Linked DNA regions of Caenorhabditis elegans. The protein of the gene in region 1 purifies or fractionates together with the protein of each later gene. This does not show direct contact. Each region holds a gene or a part of one and is shown in the gene's direction. Other genes may lie near its edges.

What was found.
Region 2: the proteins of F10A3.17 (region 1) and T12D8.10 fractionate together in Caenorhabditis elegans (co-fractionation; one large-scale study listed by BioGRID). This does not show direct contact.
Region 3: the proteins of F10A3.17 (region 1) and sur-5 fractionate together in Caenorhabditis elegans (co-fractionation; one large-scale study listed by BioGRID). This does not show direct contact.
Region 4: the proteins of F10A3.17 (region 1) and C07D8.6 fractionate together in Caenorhabditis elegans (co-fractionation; one large-scale study listed by BioGRID). This does not show direct contact.

The regions. Positions count from the first base shown.
Region 1 is NC_003283.11:16,158,065-16,162,134, reverse strand, and holds F10A3.17 (DUF38 domain-containing protein), read left to right. Parts: upstream 1-2,440; 5' UTR 2,441-2,451; coding exon 2,452-3,030; intron 3,031-3,096; coding exon 3,097-3,285; 3' UTR 3,286-3,456; downstream 3,457-4,070. Other genes in the region: str-109 (Serpentine receptor class r-10), read left to right, coding at 1-108, 169-256, 762-1,450; str-99 (Serpentine receptor class r-10), read left to right, coding at 3,644-3,835, 3,882-3,969, 4,022-4,070.
Region 2 is NC_003281.10:13,640,757-13,644,303, reverse strand, and holds T12D8.10 (BolA family protein), read left to right. Parts: upstream 1-1,976; coding exon 1,977-2,039; intron 2,040-2,088; coding exon 2,089-2,186; intron 2,187-2,340; coding exon 2,341-2,476; 3' UTR 2,477-2,509; downstream 2,510-3,547. Other genes in the region: set-16 (PHD-type domain-containing protein), read right to left, coding at 32-108, 164-265, 318-323; drr-2 (RRM domain-containing protein), read left to right, coding at 766-786, 838-921, 965-1,163, 1,220-1,539; acbp-5 (Acyl-CoA-binding domain-containing protein 6), read left to right, coding at 2,616-2,814, 2,868-3,076, 3,461-3,547.
Region 3 is NC_003284.9:7,300,600-7,307,632, reverse strand, and holds sur-5 (Acetoacetyl-CoA synthetase), read left to right. Parts: upstream 1-2,062; 5' UTR 2,063-2,063; coding exon 2,064-2,283; intron 2,284-2,437; coding exon 2,438-2,541; intron 2,542-2,626; coding exon 2,627-2,747; intron 2,748-2,794; coding exon 2,795-3,118; intron 3,119-3,168; coding exon 3,169-3,320; intron 3,321-3,363; coding exon 3,364-3,548; intron 3,549-3,968; coding exon 3,969-4,135; intron 4,136-4,196; coding exon 4,197-4,297; intron 4,298-4,352; coding exon 4,353-4,488; intron 4,489-5,035; coding exon 5,036-5,345; intron 5,346-5,544; coding exon 5,545-5,701; intron 5,702-5,747; coding exon 5,748-5,873; 3' UTR 5,874-6,244; downstream 6,245-7,033. UniProt on the Caenorhabditis elegans protein: Activates acetoacetate to acetoacetyl-CoA. Negatively regulates let-60 Ras activity during vulval induction.
Region 4 is NC_003284.9:7,339,553-7,343,521, forward strand, and holds C07D8.6 (NADP-dependent oxidoreductase domain-containing protein), read left to right. Parts: upstream 1-1,956; 5' UTR 1,957-1,983; coding exon 1,984-2,226; intron 2,227-2,277; coding exon 2,278-2,687; intron 2,688-2,734; coding exon 2,735-2,989; intron 2,990-3,042; coding exon 3,043-3,088; 3' UTR 3,089-3,228; downstream 3,229-3,969. Other genes in the region: epg-7 (Autophagy-related protein 11 C-terminal domain-containing protein), read left to right, coding at 7-150, 201-297.

The DNA.
Region 1 (4,070 bases):
TTAATATTTGAAACACCGAAAAAAGTTTTTGGCAGCTATAAATATTTGATGGCTGCTTTTTCCGTTGTCGGAATTTTTTTCTCGTTTTGTGATTTTTATATGAAACCGGTAACCCATCTACATAATTTTTAAAAATTTAGCCCAAAAGTAAATGATTCAAAATTTCAGCATCTTCATATAACCAAGACATCGTTTATTGTATTTACTGATTTGAAACTTTTGGGATATTCGTATTTCACTGGACAGTTAGCGTTGGGTAGGTACCGACACAAGTCGGAAATGTAGTCATGTAGGTAGACAAGCACGTAAGTAGGCAGACAGGCACATAGGCAGGTGGTAGGGTTGGCAAGCAGATAGGCGTGGCACAGCTGCTTCTCGTTAGTCATGTACGTAGGAAAACAGACACATGAACATGTAGCTATGTAGATTAGCAGGAAAGCAGGTAAGCGAGAGTTTGGCAGTTTGGCACGAGTTTGGCAAGAGTTTGGCACGAGAGTTTGTATGTAGGCAAGTACGTAGGCATGCTTGTCTACGTGTAGGTATGAAAGCAAGTAATCAGGTAGGCATGAGTGACTCAAACATGAAGCTAGCTTAACAGGTAAGCAGAGGTATTTATCTGACACATAAAATGTAGGCAGAGGTAATCAGCCCAAGCCACAACAGGTAAGACGAAGTAGGTAATTAGGTAAGCAAGTAGGCAAATGTTTTGTGATTGGAATTTTTAGTATGTATTAAAAAGTATTGGAAATATAGTTTTCCAGCAACACTATGCTCAACATACGGAATGATGATAACCATGCTTGCAATGCATTTTTATTATCGATATCTTTCGGTTACATCTTCACTTTATCGATTTTTCTTCAAAAACCTTACTATTTGGGTCATCTTTCTTACTTGTAATTCTGCTATTTGGTTCTTCTGCTTTCTCGTATTGAACTCTCCGTCTCCAATGAAAGATGAAGAGCTTTTTCCTGAATTTTGGGAATCTTACTGCCTGAAACCAAATGAATATACCTACACAGGACCTCACTACTACTACACAGACAATTCAACTGGAGAATGGAAATTTCATATTCCGTCATTTGTGGCTGAGGGCTATACAGCTGGCAATATTGCTGTGGCATTTGTTTTTCTTACATATTTTGGCTTTCAAACTTACAATCATCTTAATAAACTAGAAGTTGTGGCGAGCGTAAACTTCCGGGAGCTCCAAAATCAATTGTTCAGAACTTTGGTGGTCCAGACTATATTCCCAACAATCTTTTTATTTTTTCCAGTATCATGTTTAGTTGTGTTCCCAGTTTTTGGGGTCAGAATTGGAGAGCATGCAAATTTAATCATGATTTTATTTTCTATATATCCATGCTTCGAACCGATTGTAGCAATGTGTTGTATCAAATGCTTCAGAGTACGGATAACGAGTAAGTGTATTTGTAAAGGTTTTCTTTAACTGCGGCTTTGCAGGTTGGATATCATACTTCATAAAACCAGCTCAGCCATCACTGTATGTAAACACGACTATTTCTTGATTTGTATTTTTTTTGCACTTTTTTATGTTCTCAAGTTATAAAGTTAATTTACATCAATTTACAAACATTTTTTTAAAACTCGAATTGCTACAAGTTCAAAAAAAAACCGATACATTCAAATAAATATATGTACAACGATGCGTGTCAAACTAGACACTTCCCAAGTCGAGGGGTAACCCAAACAGCTGTAGAATATATGTTGAGAATGAGAGAAGGAAGTGCGCTCTATTGAGAAATTTGAATTGAAATTGTTTTTTTACTCTGTTTCTTCTTAATATTTTGGTTAATTTTTAAGACAAAATGAATAATCCTACCAAAAATTTTCCAATGAGATTTTGAAATATTGCGAAATAGTCTCTGAACTTTTGGTTTGTTTGCGAATGGTGGTAAATATTAGATAAGGAAACCTCCTTTTTATGTGAAAATGTTGATGCCCTATTGATTTTATATTCTTTTTTTTCGTTTGTGCGGAATTTTTTAAACTTTTTTTTTACAATTTTGTTTTAAAAACTCTGTTTATAAGTACTGGACGTTCTCTGGCTAAAAATGTTTAAAAGTATGAGTATTTTTCAATTTTTTTGTTTAATTTTTCGGGTTTTTGTTTTCTTTTAGTGCAAAAATTGAATTAGTTTTCAGATAATTTTTTCGAATTTTTTTGAAAAATGAGGAAATTTTTCAGCCAAATTTGTTCCTATTTCCCATTTTCCTAATTTTTTTATAGCGATTTCCAAAAATACTTATATTCTTAAATTTTACTGATTCAAATTTTTTCAAACATCAAAAACAATAATTTTCAAAAATATAACGGTTAACTCTATGCACTCTGATTTGAGACCCCGGCTAAGCTCTGGTTTATTTTGCGCAACCCCGTGATACTCAATCTGTAATTTTATGTTTCAGACTATTTACAGAAAATTGACAAATGCATCTAAAATTGAATATATCAAATGTTCAATCGAATTTAACATACAATGACATCGAAACAGAGTACCAGCCTATCGATAATGGGAGCATTGTTACATGTGGGAAAGATTCTACAATAATAAAAGACAAAAGTCATGCAGAATTATCAATTAATGAATTTGCTGAGAAAATTCAAGATTCCACAGTCAAGCTGGAATCAGTGGAGATAAATATTTGCAACAACGTCAAAAAGCAAAATCGAAGGGACATTTTTAACTCTCTACTGAAAGTTTTTCAAGCAAAGAGCTCAAAGTTGCACGTGTCAAAATGCATACTGGGTGACTTGTTCGCACAAGAAATTCTATTGCTTCTCCCATTTTTTCAAGCTGGAGAGTTCGAAACTATTGAATTGTCAAACAACGAATCAATGGTTGGTCAGTTGAATGAAATTTCCAAGTTGGAGCAATGGAAGAAGGCCAAGATTTTGAACGCAGCTAACGGGAAATTTGAAATCCCAATTGAAAACTTGTTCCACTTCGAGAAGTTCACAATCAGCTTGACGTCTTTTTCAAAGGAGGATTCAAAGAAAATTAAAGACGTGAGTTGTTTAGTGAAGTTTCAGTGGCTCAAAGTTGATCCAGAATTACCTAACTTTGATTTTCAGAGACTCTACGAAATGGAACATTTTGGAGATGGATGCTTCATTTTTCCAAAGACCAACATTATCGAGATTGCGAGAGTCTTTGATTCAAATTTTTATCTCGGGGAAAGTGCATTGTTTGATTGTGAAGTCAATTATAAATGCTTCATTGTTGAAATTACAGAGAGGTTTTTCAAAATTCGAAAGGGCTAACAATTTTTATTTTTATTTTGTTCCATTGATTATTGCCATTTTTTTATGTCGGAATTTCATTTAGTTTCTTTTTTGATAAATTATATAGGTAATTGGTAACTTGATTCATTCCATCTGTATGTATTCCAATTGTATTGTCTCATTTTCCATTGTGAATAAAAAAGTTATAATAATAACAAATTTAAACAACGAAAACCTGCTCGTTCATAATAACTGGACGCACAAGTTGGCAGAATACCCACATCGATTCATGTCTACAGGCACTCGAGGGACTTGCAGATGTGTCTATAATTTATTCAAAACATTTTTTTTCATTCCGTTAACCTCGATTGTTTCAATAATGTGCTCAACTATATTCATGAAATGGACAATTCAATTGGCATATTACATTGAAACAATCGGCTTTGTGACTTCAACTTTTTTAAACTCGATTCTCTTATTCCTAATCAGTAAAATGTCAAAACAAACGTTCGGAAACTATAACTATCTTATGTTTTCATTTTCATCATTTTCAATAGTATATTCATTTGTAAACTTTTGGAGCAAACCGGTAGATTTTTTTTCAAATATGAAGAGTTATGACACATTATTTTCAGAATGTTCTTATTACCGACAAATCTTTTGCGATTTTTGTTGATTTGAAGGAGACTGGATTCACCAAACAATTCGGAGCAATTGCGATTGGTACTAAGAACGCTGATTCTGAAATTTGTAAAATAATTTGCGATTTATTCAGGACTGTATTGTTCTTGCTACAACATCATGCTCCAGTTGATCACAATTCA
Region 2 (3,547 bases), on another chromosome or scaffold:
GTGAAAAACAATTGAAAATTCAAAATCTCACTTCCGACAAGTTGTGCACTGCCTCGAATCTGCAGTTATCATTCTTTGGCACGATCCACAGCTGGACGACATGTCACACTGCAAATTTTCTGATTTTAGAAAAAAAAATAGTGGAAAATCGAAAATTTCCTACCTGACGGGCCATATCCAACGACATCGTGCCAGAACGGTTAACATCCATGCAGTTTTCACATAGTTCCGTGTTGTTGAACGCGGTACCGCCACATTCGATGCACTGGAATTTTAATTTTGATGTATAGTTAAAATTTTGAACGGTGAACACTTACAATCATCTTTTGGACTTCATATAGTCGGCTTTCTCGATTTTTGAAGCTTCAATCGATACGAATTTGACTCTAAAATAATTATTATGAGTTATTCCACTGAAAATGAGATAAAAATCGTTCAAACTGCCGCCCATTCTCCTCTAACGGCTGTTGAAAAGGGCGTATCGATTTGTTTGGCATCTTGCCAAGCGTTACATGTCTGCGTCTCTACGCGCTGCGTAGAGCCCCTTGCCATGTTAACGGGGCGGCTACGCATCTCTGCCGCACTGCGTCTCTCTGGCACTGTGCCAATACACCGAATGCCACGCGAGATTGCGGACTGAGAGTTGGAAAAAAATTAAATAAATAATTTGATTTGCAAATATGTATTTTCGAGCTTTCGTGTGTGCGTTTTTAAAGACTTAAATGAATTTCAGAAGACGTCTCACTTGGGGAAGCTTTTCAAGCAATGGCCGATGAGATTTTTAAGGTTAGTGGGTACTTCAAAGCAATGGCATTTTAAATATATCGAATTTTACAGGCATTCATCGGTGGGCTCCCCTATGACTCCATCGCCACTGACATCGAAACTATATTAAAGCACTGCAAGTTCACAGATGAAGAGGTACTGCGGAAAAGCAGGAAATTTCTAATAAATGTTTTTTCAGCTCAAAAAGTTCGATATTCATCTTGTGCACGACAGAGATTCTGGAAGTTTCAAGGGATTCGCATATGTCACTTTTGAGAATGAACAACAGATGAATACTGCTATCAGTGGCCTTAATGGAGCCGATTTCGGAAATCGCGTACTCAAGGTTAATCGTGCCCAACAGCGCGATCGCAGTGACCGCGGAGGTGGTCGTGGAGGTATTTCAGTTATTATTTTATTTTTCTCCGCTCATTTTAACAATAATTTTGCTCAGGACGCGGAGGAAACTTCGGAGATCGCGGAGGACGTGGTCGTGGAGCAGGAGGCTTCCGGCGTGGCGGTGAAGGTGGCCGCTTCAACGAAGGAGAGCGTCGTGGCGGATTTGGCGGCGGAGGACATCGCGGTGGATACCGACAACGTCGCGAGAGCGAAGAACAACACAAAGCCGAGGAAACTTCAGATCCATCAGCTCCGCCAGCAGAACGTCCACGTCTCAACCTGAAGCCCCGTACCACAGATGCCGCTGAGATCGAGGCTCGCAAGAAGCAAGAAGAAGAGGAGACCAAGAGACGCCAGGAGAAGCTTTTCCAATAAACTTTTTTTCGATTTTTCCCTGAATTTCGATCCGCGAATGACACGAAATCCTGCAATCATAGGAGCCTATCCCCTAATTTGTCCCCTCGTCACTTTCCGTCAAGTTCCGCTGGTATAACCATTTCTTCAACCCCTTCTGAATGTCTAATGATCACAAATTACCTCAGAATCCTTTCACATAAAAAGTTTGTTTGTTGTTAAACCCCAAAAAGTCCCAAAAGCATATATTTTCCCCCACCTACTTGTTGTTCTGTTGATTTTACTAGTTATTCCTTTATTTTTCTTTATAGAAATACACTAAAAACATGCGAAATATATGAATAATCAATAAAAAAATATTTTTATACTTTTTTTTTCAAAATCTGGTTTTTGTGTGGTTTTCTCCAATTTTCGTTTCTGCTCAATTTTCAGTTCCTAAATTAAATTTTAATCGACAGATGGCATCACCAGTGGAAAGAGTCAATGCGCTACTCACAGAAGCCATCAAGCCGCAGATTTTGGTGAGTTTTATTGATGTTGTTCATTAAAAAAACCGAAAATTTCTTCCAGAAAGTCGTCGACGAGAGCGGAGGCTGCGATGGATACAAATTTCGGCTTCTCATCGTCTCTGAGGCGTTTGAGGGCAAGTGTACGCTGCAATCTCACCGGTAAGCCTGAAAATGCTGAAAGCTTAGGGTGGATCCACGTACGTGGAAATTAATTTAAACGGAAGAATTTAAAGGAAGTCACAGTCAAGCTGAGCTGGTTTTCCCAACGATTGCACTAAAGTAATGTAAATATAAACTTATTCCAATTTTACAGATTGGTCCAAGCTGCTCTTGCTCCAATCATGGACGAAACTCACGCGCTCACCATCTGCGCCTACACACCTGAAAGATGGTCCCAAATGACGACGGAAGACCGTCAAAATGCCGGTTGCCAGGATTTGGTGGACTAATTTGCTGTACTTTTTAAATGAATGATTCTATTTAATTATTCGCTTTGTTTTTGAATTAAAGTTGGTTATTTTTAATCGAAAAGGCCAGGTCATATTTCTTTGTTTCCGACTGAAATCAGTAGTTACACAAAGTTTCCAGATGATTATTGCATGGGCAGTCTCTTCATTCCAGGACCATCCAAAAAATGAAAATCAAGAAGAAGAACCCATCGATACGCTGCTTGAGGCGAAATTCGACGCGGCGACGACAAGGTTGCCGGGGTTTCTGACAAAAATCGATCAGAAAACTATATTAAAATTCTATGGACTCTACAAGCAGGCTGTAGAAGGTCCAGCAGGTATTTAAAATGGACGATTTTGAAGCTGAGAAACTAAAAGAACACAATTTCAGACTCGAAAAAAGGTCCCTACTGGTTCGAAACGGTCGCGCGCAAAAAGTTCAACTCGTGGCTAGCGAATAGTCAGATGAGCCGGTCGAGAGCTATGGAAGCGTATTGTGAGCTCATGGCTCAGCTTGACACGTCTTGGGATCCGGATGCAGAGACGGTGAAGAAAAGTGGACTGTGGGAGAAGATGCCCAGCACAATGGGTGTTATCGAGGTGAAAAGGATAAAAAATTATTAATCCCCACTTAATCATGCTTTTTTAAATGTATATTTTAAATTTTTTTATGTAGAATAGTACTGAAAACTTGAAAATTGAGCCTCTACGTCTATATTTGGTATCAAAACTACCGTAATGACTTAAAGGAGGGCGACCTCCCGAGACGAGGGGTCTCGCAGCGAGTGGGAACGAATTACTGTAGTTTTTTTAAATGGTTTTTGAAGCTTTTTCCTACTTTTCCCACCAGATTAGAAACCGTTTTAACAAGGCAAACTTACGAAAGATGCAAAAAATTCAAAAAAAAAATTAAAGTTGAGTCTGTGAAATAATAAAACACGTAAAGTTGTTACTAAATACCGTACCCCTCTTATCATTTTTCAGCCAGAAATGTTCGACGACGCTGTGGTGCACCCGCCAACGAAACTGGAAACCGAAACCGAAAAGAAATGGTTCGCGGCGATGCGCGTG
Region 3 (7,033 bases), on another chromosome or scaffold:
TATTTTACATACATATGTATAGTTAATGTCATATTAGCATATTTAGTATTGAGTTAACACGCAGAAATACCAAAGAAACCCTGTTTAATTCATTTCCATGTTTTATTCGCTTTAACTAGGGAATGACCAGAATAAGTGGAGCGATATTCAAAAAAAAAAAATTGTATCGGAAAGCTGACATTCTCTACTATAAGAATATGACTGAAATTTTTGCCCATTCGGGCTGGAAATCTGAATGGAAATTGTTTATATGAGGGGATCCATGGTTGTAGTTACAATTTTGAGAAAAAAGTTTAAATTTTAGGGGAAAAGATGTTGAATGAATCATTATGGTGTTGGTCGACACATTGATCATGCTGATATCGATCAGAAAAATTAAATTTGGGCTTTTATATAGTTTCGAAAAAACACGTTTAAATTTTTGAAAAATTTTACGTTAGGGTGGAATTGAACCCCAGAGTCCCACCATGCTTGTCATCCACTCTATCCACTCGGCCATCTCGCTGTTGCAGGCAGTACTAATTGGGGATAGTGAAAAGAGTTAACGTAGAATTTCAGACGTAAAAATTTCAGATTTCCAGCCCGAATGGGCCAAAATTTCAGTCATATTCTTATAGTAGAGAATGTCAGCTTTCCGATACAATATTTTTTTTTTGAATATCGCTCCACTTATTCTGGTCATTCCCTAGTAAGTTTTTTCAGTTTTACCAGAAATAAAACCACTCATAAAAACTATAAACTACACATTTAAACTGTAAATGTTGGAAATCATTTTGACCATCAAACAATAGCTATCGGAAAATGCAAAGGCCATTCCGTGATGGCACGCTCTTCTTCTATCCATCGCTCCTTTTCAACGAAACACACACACAAACGCAGACTATTGGAAAAGAAAAATATAGAAAAAACCTTTTTTCTCCTTGTCCCTTGTGTTGATCTCACTTTTCAGTGGACGTGTGCAGTGTGGAGGCCAGAGACTGTGCTGACCGACGGACGCGCAGGCGGTAAACATACGTTGCAGTGGAGAGTGTAGTCCCTCGTCGGCTCTCTGTGTATTTCTTTCAATGCCTGTGTCTCGGTCTATCTTTGTCTCTATCTGTTTTAAAAGTTTTTTGCAAAGTTTCAATTTCTTTTTTATTTTCTCTTCTTTTTTTGCGCATTTATTTTTTTTAAAGAGCGCTGTTCTTCAATTGGAAAACAGTATAACGATCGAAATAAAAAAAAAACTTGAAATAGTATCGGAATTGAGATGGGGGCAATTGAAATTGAAGACGCAACAAAAACATGTTTTTATCGTCTGAAATTATCTAAACTTTGAATCTAACGTGTCAATGGCTACTTTTACAGTAGACTTTTTAGAGTAATGTTAAAAAGGATAATATAGGTTTTTCTTCAAACTATTTTGTCACGCCGCATATATTCTTTTCATATTCCATTCGCAAAGTGCATGATGTAACAAAAATGAAACGTCATAATTTTTTAATCTTTCACACTTTTTTTGCCGGCCGTTAAATCAAAATCAAATCAACTTAATCCAACACGTGCGGGCTTGCAATTTTATTACACCGGTGTCCTACAGCGCCATGTTATCTTCTTTGATTAGAGATCTCTCACGCAACATTTGACATTGAAAATTTTGTCTCCGAATTGTTGTGTACCTACTTTGTCCCGATGTCCCAAATTTTCACTGATAACAAGAGATATCTCAACTGTTCTTATCACGTTGATACGTAGAACGTTTTACACTAAACCAAATTGCAGTCCCCTTCTACGAACCGTTTGCTAATTGTTTTGCATAGAACAGTGATCAATGTGTTGTGCTCACTAGTCAATGATGTTCGTCTCTCATTTTTCCTACAACTTCACTGAAAAGGTTTTGAATATCTGGTGATTGTAGGCAATCACACCACAGTTAATGGCCTGGCAAATAATGATAAGCGTGTGATAAACCTCACAAAAATACGCCTAGAAGTGGTGATATCGCTAGTTTTGTGTCCTTTCGATTTTTTTCGTGTTGCTTTTTTCTGTGGATAAACCTTTGAACTTTACATTTTGTTTTCAGAATGACCGCAGTGTCTGCAAACGGAAAAACTACCGAAAAGCACGAAAATGGTGCTCACACCAATGGAACGACAAATGGAACGACGAATGGATCAATGAATGGAAATGAAATAAGCCATGTTCAGAAACTTCAGCCAGTTTATTACAAGCCGCCACAAAATTTGGAAACTTTTGAATTGTCACTCAGAAATCATTTTGAAGAGAAAACAAATAAGAAATTTGGTAATTTTTTATTTAGTAAATCATAGGTTTCAATTTTAACTCTTGATTAATTTGAAAAATCGACCTCAAATAACTGCTATTTAATATTTAACTGAAACTGTGAGCAACTAGATTTTGAAAAATGCAAAATATTCATAACATCCACATTTTTAAGCTGACTACCGTGAATTTCACCGATTCACTTGTGATAATTATGGTATTTTCTGGGAGGATTTGCTCAAATTGTCCGATGTGAAGCTTCATCAAAACTACAACCAGGTATGGTATTGGGAAACTTGTTTCCACTTCCTGGAACATTAATTTTTTATGTGTAACAGCTCGGAAACAAACAAAGTATTTTTAGGTTATCGATCATAATTTGAAAATCAACGAGAGACCGAGATGGTTCAATGGTGCTACTCTCAACTATACTGAAAATGTCATCGAAAGAGGAACCGCCACCGATATTGCTGTATTGAATGCCAGTAAGTGTTTCATGTTCCAAACGTTTATTTATCAAACAAAATTCAAGGTATCGAAGAAACAGTGACAGAATATACTTACGACAACTTGCGCAAAGATGTTTATCGCATTGCCACATCTCTTCGTAACTATGGAATCGGACCCGGAGACACTGTTTGCGGCTTTGTTCCAAACACATATGACACACTGGTGGCTGTTTTTGCCACAGCCGCTGTCGGAGCTGCCTGGTGCTCAGCGTCTGTTGATTTTGGACCTGCTGGTGTTCTTGACAGATTCAGACAAGTTCACCCCAAGGTTTTGTTCACAGTGAATCATGTGACTTACAAGAAGAAGCTCATTGATCAGACCGATAAAATTAATGAAATTGTAAAAGGTTGGTTACTTTTGTCAAATAAGAATTTAAAACAATGGTATAACTTCCAGAGCTCCCAACTCTCGAGAAAATCGTTGTATCCGACACCTTCACATCTGTAAAATTCGATGCAACAAAGTACAATCAAAGTGACAAGTTCTCATCACTCGAAGAATTCAAGACTCCCATTGCCGATGTTGTGTTGCCATTTGTATATACTCCAGTATGATTAAGATTTGAAACATTCAAAGCATGTGGATTTTTAGGTACCATTTTCCGATCCACTCTTCGTAATGTTTAGCTCAGGAACCACGGGAATTCCAAAGGCAATGGTTCACACGGTCGGAGGAACCTTGCTCAAGCACATTGAGGAGCATTTGGTGCAAGGAGATTCAAAGAAACACGATCGTATGTTTTTCTACACTACATGTGGATGGATGATGTATAATTGGTGAGATTTTGTTTTAATTAAAATTGTATTTTAATCAGCAAGAAAATACAATTTAAATAATATTAGAACACCGTAGAAACTGTCCCCTGAAATGTTTTTTTGTATTTATGTAATAATGAACTGTTGGATAAGCTTTAAAATATTGATTTTTTCTAGAGACAAAAATAATTTCCGAATAAATATTCACAGGTTGCTTTCAAGAAATAAAACATTTTGGCAATTCGCCGCAACTTTGCAACCGTTCAGTAACCTTTGGTAGTTCTTAGTGCAAATGCTTGGATGTTCCATCTTTAACTTTGTTCACTTTTGCAACTTTTTTGATTGGCGCTGCTGAAATTGATCACGAGTTTTCGGCAAATTGCTAAGATTGTACTTATTCACAATTTCAAAAATATATAACTTTAATTTTTAACATTTCAGGATGATCTCGTTCCTATACTCCAAAGGATCTGTTGTATTATTCGATGAATGCCCATTGGCTCCTGACACCCATATTATCATGAAAATCGCTGCAAAGACACAATCGACTATGATTGGAATGGGTGCGAAGCTTTATGATGAATACCTCCGACTTCAAATTCCATTCAGTAAGTATATACATATAATTTTCCTCCATTCAACACCGTTAATATGATCAACGACTTTCAGACACATTGTACGACCTTTCCAAAATACACACAGTCTACTCGACAGGTTCGCCATTGAAGAAAGAGTGCTTCGCTTATATCAACACTTATATTGCGCCAGGCGTATGTTCTTATCTTGTTCTTTTGCAACCAAATATAACACAAAGTTTTTTTATAGGCTCTCATCGCGTCGATTTCTGGAGGAACTGACATTATTGGATGCTTTGTCGGTGGTATCAAGTCATTGTCAATCACGCCAGGAGAGTGTCAGTGTTTGTTCCTGGGAATGGATATTAAGTCATTCAATTACATGGGTACGTGCAAAATGAAATGTATAAAACAATTCGGAAAAAGCTAGAACGTTATGTCGAGAATTGTACCATTTAATACTGGGGATGAAAAAAGTGGTACTGGAAAAATTTTCAATATTGGCAGACCTCGGCAAATTGCGATGTATCTCAAAAATTCTTGAAACTCTAAAAATAAAACCATGAATAATAAATAGCATAATTGTATTTCCATCGTATTTTCCAAAATCAAAAAAAAATGCCGAAATCGGTAAGACGTGCAAAAAATTGAAAAAATTGCCGAGCGCGGCAACTTCTTAATGCCCACTTTTTTTAAAAATTTTGCACAGAACCCTGGCGATTGAATAGGTGTTCGATCTTTATAAGAATAATAGGTCCATATGACAATAGGGATTACAGGCCCATATCCCAGGCGAACAACAGCAGTGTTGCAAACAAATATACATACTTTATAATGTTTATAAATAACTTTCAAAGTAGTTTTCAACATTTTTCGAAAAGTTGCGAAGAAAGATAGATCAACTTTTTTCTCCAAAAAGTATCCGAATTGCAGATGAAGAAATCATTAACTCTGACGAACAAGGAGAGTTAGTGTGTGTCACCCCATTCCCCTCAATGCCATCACATTTCTTGAATGACACGGATGGCAAGAAGTACCGTGATGCCTACTTTGCTCGCCTAGAACCATTTTGGGCTCATGGTGATTTTGTGAGAGTGAATCATTCTACGGGCGGTGTAGAAATGCTCGGAAGAAGTGATGCTACATTGAATCGCGGCGGAGTTCGAATTGGAACAGCTGAGATTTATTCGGTTGTTGAAAAAATTCCACATATTGCTGATTGCATTGTAGCTGGAAGACTTGTGTAAGTTGATCATTATGCATATTTAGAGTTTTTATTTTGCTAATAGGTATGTCACTTACTCATTCTCTTCTTTATATTAAGCTAGTTTTAATTACTTTTCTCTATTCTGCAAATAGAAATAAACAGGTCGTTGATAAATTAACTTATATTTTTTATTCTCTAGTATGGCAGAACAAACATAAGAACATTTTTTTTCCAGCGAAGAGGGCATGGACGAGGAAGTTTTGCTGTTTGTGAAAATGGTTCCGGGTCAAGAGCTCACACACAGTATCCAGGCAGCCATTGTTTCTAAACTCCGGAACGACATGTCCCCGCGACATGTTCCAAACAAAATTTACGCAGTTGATGATATTCCGGTAGCTATTTACGATTGAGATATTTGTAAAAACTTTGTTTTTTCAGTATACTTCAAGCGGAAAGAAAGTGGAAGTTGCCGTTAAGCAAATTGTGAGTGGAAAGGCCGTCCAGAAAGCGTCTTCGATTCGCAATCCAGAATCTCTTGATCATTTCGTTCAATACAGACTTTAATCTTTAATTTTATTTCAACGGTTTATTTGTTTCTGTTTCTGAAAATTATATATTCACGCTTTCCTTCTTGCTCATTGCCTGAACCTGTTTTTCTCATTCATGTCATCATCAACATCAATTTTTGAGCTTTGTGGTCCTTTACATTCTCACCTTCAAATCTAATTTAAAACTTTGTGTTAATTCATTCATATTTCCCCTTATGTTAGCACCCAGGTTTTCTTTATTTGCACCGGTTTCTCTCTCACTCCCCAACGAAATAACTCTGATTTCACTGTTCCGTCGTCATCAAAAAATAAATCCCTGTGAAATACTTTGAAAGAGGAAGAAAATTTAATGGTTTCATTATCATTAAGGAATAAACATTTTGCACTAGATGATATTTTGGGCATGTCCTCAAAAACGTTAAAATGAAGACCGTCATTGAAATAGTAGGAAATATTTTCAAAATTTCAAAAGAAAGTATTGTAAAGGTACGAGCCTAAAATGTATAAAATTAGAAGAGTTTGTTCCCATGTAAAATGTGGACATTTCTGACTCTAAAATTCTATGTTTGCTTTTGGAACACTTTATGTTACATAACACACAAATTGGAAAACAATTGCTTGAAACAGATTCAGTTGTCTTGTAATTCATTACACATTTCATTTTAATGTGATTTTGAGATAGTTAACATTTGCAAAATTGTTTTTAAAGTTTTGCAAAGATAAAAATGCATGGATAAAATAAGTACCTAGGATAAATAAATGCATAGAAAATCGGTAAAGCTAAATTTCTGAATAAGGAGTGTTTACTTTTGAGCTCCTTTTCAACAAACTTGATTTTCAAAATCACAAGTAACATCCTTGGTTTGTCCCCTTCGTCCATCTTTGTGTGTTTCAATAAGCGTTGGTGCGGCAAGACATAATAAAAAGGTTAGGCGACCAGCAGAAGCCCATCACCATTCGTATGCCAACCAAATCCTCATAACTTTTCTTCTACATTCCATCTATTCACTTTATTCTCTCAACTTTTCTTTTTGTTCTTTTTTATTATTTTTTAGGACATCAAAGGTAAACGTTTTAATTCAGAGTGCCGACCAATTAATACAACTGCCTACGTCAAGTCACGTGAAGCTAATTTACGGTGCCAAATCCAATTTACATTAGGATGTAGAAAACACT
Region 4 (3,969 bases), on another chromosome or scaffold:
TTCCAGCTCAAGCCCGAATCGTTACTTCGTGAAAGAATCGTCGATTCGTCGTTTGGGAATCAACACACAGAACGCAGCCACTCGCCGCAACTGGATAATTGCGCGAGTTGTTCGTTCTGACAGTTGCTCTATCAAGAAGCCAGTTAACCGGTATGCTCTGATCATTTCTTTTTCTAATTCATATTTATAATTTATTCCAGGTACAACTTGCCAATTGGCACTATCGTCCGTCGCGTTGAGGTGGAAGCTGTGAATATGGATTTTGAAGGGGACTTCAATCATATTTCTATTGCCTGATCCTTTAGCGTTCATTAAAAATTCTGGTCCAAAAATTGTAAATGTCATGTCCCTCTTTTTTTTGTTTCTGAAAAATGTAAATTCCTTTCATAACGTAAGCTTTATACGTTCATGTCCCCTTTACCTCTTTTGTTCTCCCAACTCGTCAGTCTTTTGGGCCCGTCAAAATCTTTTGGTCTTACTGGTACTGTATAGGTATATATTTAATTGTTCATTTTTGAAATGCTGCTTCGTGGTCCAAATAACCTGATACCTTGATATGGATATTTGAAATGAATGTTGCAAATTTAGAATAATTGAAAACCAACAACTATTATTTTTGTTTCAAAGTAAACTATTAATTTCACTGTATTGAATTTCTGTTTGTATATGAACACAATACAAATGCGATAATTTCAGAATTTAAATGAATAAAAAAAGTAAAATCAGAGGAAAAATGGTATCAAAGTCGGAAAACGCACTGATTTTTTATCAAAAAAATATCCTTATAGAAAAATGGAACAATTAAAATTGGTTTTTCCTGTTGTCTCACTTTTGAGTATATTTTCTAACGTTTTTCAAGTAAAACGGATTCAAATTAGAGTTAAAATCACAAAATTCATTTTCAGTGCGATTAAAATCCTGAATCGTTGTTGCGCAGTGTTTTGTTACCCATCCTACACTCTCCCTTTTTTGCCCGCACTCTCTCCACGCGCCTTTTCTTCAAAAATATTGCGCGTCAAATCTGTTATGTGATCTGCATTATGCGCAAACTGTGCAATCACTGCAAGAAAGAGGAAACCGGGAACATTTTTTTGAACGCGGGAACGGAACGGGGCGTGGCTTCCTTGGTCAGTATAAAAGGGAAGAAATCTGGGGCAACTGACATTGTTTTCCATTTTTCCTGCTTATTTTTTCCTTTTTTACGTTGCCGTGACCTCTCTCTCTCTCGCCTATCCTCTCCTTGGCACTCACTTTCCCGGTGCTCATGAATCAAATCATGTTCAAATTAGCTGGTAAAAATGCTGCTTGAAAATAAAATAAAACTAACAGTTCTAGAATGTAGATTGATATCTTACCCTTATCAGTAGACGTTTATAAAATGCGCTTAATTTCGCCTACTACAAACGCACCTCCTAAGTAACACTTTTGAAACACTGAAAATGATACAAATTTCCATTTAAAATTTCGTTATCTCCGAAATACGTCCACGGTGCATGCTTCGAACAATAAAATGTCATCATTTTTTGACCCACAGATTCTCTCTCATTCTCCCCTAACCTCCTGCGTATCATTTATATTTTGCTGGCAAACTATTGCATTTCGGGAACAAGATACACCATTGGTCTCTCTCAAACTGATTCCTACCGACAGCTGCTATCGCTTGATAAAGATGATTTTTTTTGAATATAAATACCGTGAGGCATAAGGTAGATTAAATCAGCGCCCTCAACCCTTTTTTGGAAATAACTTGAATAGTGTCAAGGTTTGTAAGATTTTCATCAGCCCTCCCTCCCCTCTTAGCATTCTCTATTTCTATTTCCGTCTGATCAAATATAGCACAATCGTCTGTTAGTTATCAAACTTTGGACAATTTTATTTGCCGATTTTCTTTTACTCTATACTTTATCACCTCGTTTTGTTCTCAAAAATTTCACATTTCTATTTTTTCAATTTTAGAATCTCCTCAACACTCGGTCCATCACCATGTCTTCCGCAACTGCTTCCATCAAGCTTTCCAACGGAGTTGAGATGCCGGTCATCGGTCTCGGAACCTGGCAGTCAAGCCCCGCCGAAGTCATCACCGCCGTGAAGACCGCCGTCAAAGCTGGCTACCGTCTCATCGATACCGCATCCGTATACCAAAACGAGGAAGCCATCGGAACTGCTATCAAGGAGCTTCTCGAGGAGGGAGTTGTCAAACGTGAGGAGCTGTTCATCACTACTAAGGTTTGCAAAAATAGCATCTTTATATTATTTTATACAAATCCGGTTTTACAGGCTTGGACTCACGAGTTGGCTCCGGGAAAACTGGAGGGTGGACTTCGCGAGTCCCTCAAGAAGCTTCAACTGGAGTACGTCGACTTGTACCTTGCTCACATGCCAGCTGCATTCAACGATGACATGAGCGAGCACATCGCTTCGCCAGTGGAGGACGTCTGGCGTCAGTTTGATGCAGTCTACAAGGCCGGACTTGCCAAGGCTGTCGGTGTCTCCAACTGGAACAACGATCAGATTTCTCGTGCTCTTGCTCTTGGATTGACACCAGTTCACAACTCCCAAGTCGAGCTTCATCTCTACTTCCCACAGCACGACCACGTCGATTTCTGCAAGAAGCACAATATCTCGGTCACTTCCTACGCCACTTTGGGAAGCCCAGGACGTGTCAACTTCACTCTTCCAACTGGACAGTAAGTTTAACAAGTAGCTTGTTCCTTTTCTCAACACCTATTTGCAGGAAATTGGACTGGGCTCCAGCTCCATCCGACCTTCAAGACCAAAATGTGTTGGCTTTGGCTGAGAAAACCCACAAGACTCCAGCCCAGGTGCTCCTCCGCTACGCTCTTGATCGTGGATGCGCAATCCTTCCAAAGTCGATCCAAGAAAATCGCATCAAGGAGAACTTCGAGGTGTTCGACTTCTCTCTCACTGAAGAGGACATTGCCAAGCTCGAGGAGAGCAAGAACTCGCAGCGTCTCTTTCTTCAAGATTTGTAAGTTTATAGGACAAAATGACTGAAACTTTAGTAACCCAACTCTTTTTCAGTATGACCGGACACCCCGAGGATGCCTTTGCTGCTGAGCGCAAGTAGATCACCGTCATCCACAACTGGTTCTTCGTTCATCATTTCAAAGTTCAATTTCCCATTCACATTCGTCACACGTTCTCTTTCCTTTTTGGCATGTATTTCTCAGCATGATTGCTTTATTTCAAAAATAAATACGTTGATCTAAATTTTGAACCCCAAAAAACATCACATAAGTCTGTCATCATCTTTGCCAGCCTGTCAGCCCTACCTTCCTTTTTTCCAGTCGAAAAAAAAACTCGAGTCTCCTACTCTGTGAGATAGTTTGGAAATCCCTAGCTCATCTGCGAGGTTTGGACAGAATTTTTCACAATTTGTGGCTCTTCGCTGTAGAGAATTATGCACAGCTACTTTGATGAGATGCATCCAATAGAGCCTGCAGTCGTTCAACATTATAAGAGCCACCAATTTTCAATTGTGGCGTCACCATATTTTGTCTAATTAAAGACGGCCCTGATTGTGAGACATATTCTGAGTTGTACCGTTTCCCTTCAAAAATAAGAATAAGCAATCAATTTGTTTGGCAAACTCATACTATTCGAGGGCTAATCGTAATATTCATTCGAATTTCTCAAGTTTAAGTTCTTAGAAGGTAAAAAACATAGCGATGAAATATTTTTACAACGCACAAACTTGTTTTCTTCTCAAAATTCTCATATTTTGAAATTTCCATGTAAGTTCTGGTAACTTGAACTTTTTCAATTATGAACCAATGATAAACACTGCAAAGTTTTTTTACGTCCATACAGTTCTAGGGCGGTGTGTGTTGTCATATGTTACATGCTTGATAAGAAATTAATTTGTCAGCAAATCATCAAAACCTAGCTTCATTTTCGTGCCTATAAATGTTTACCGTATACGTATGCTCTATTGGTAACATTAATTTC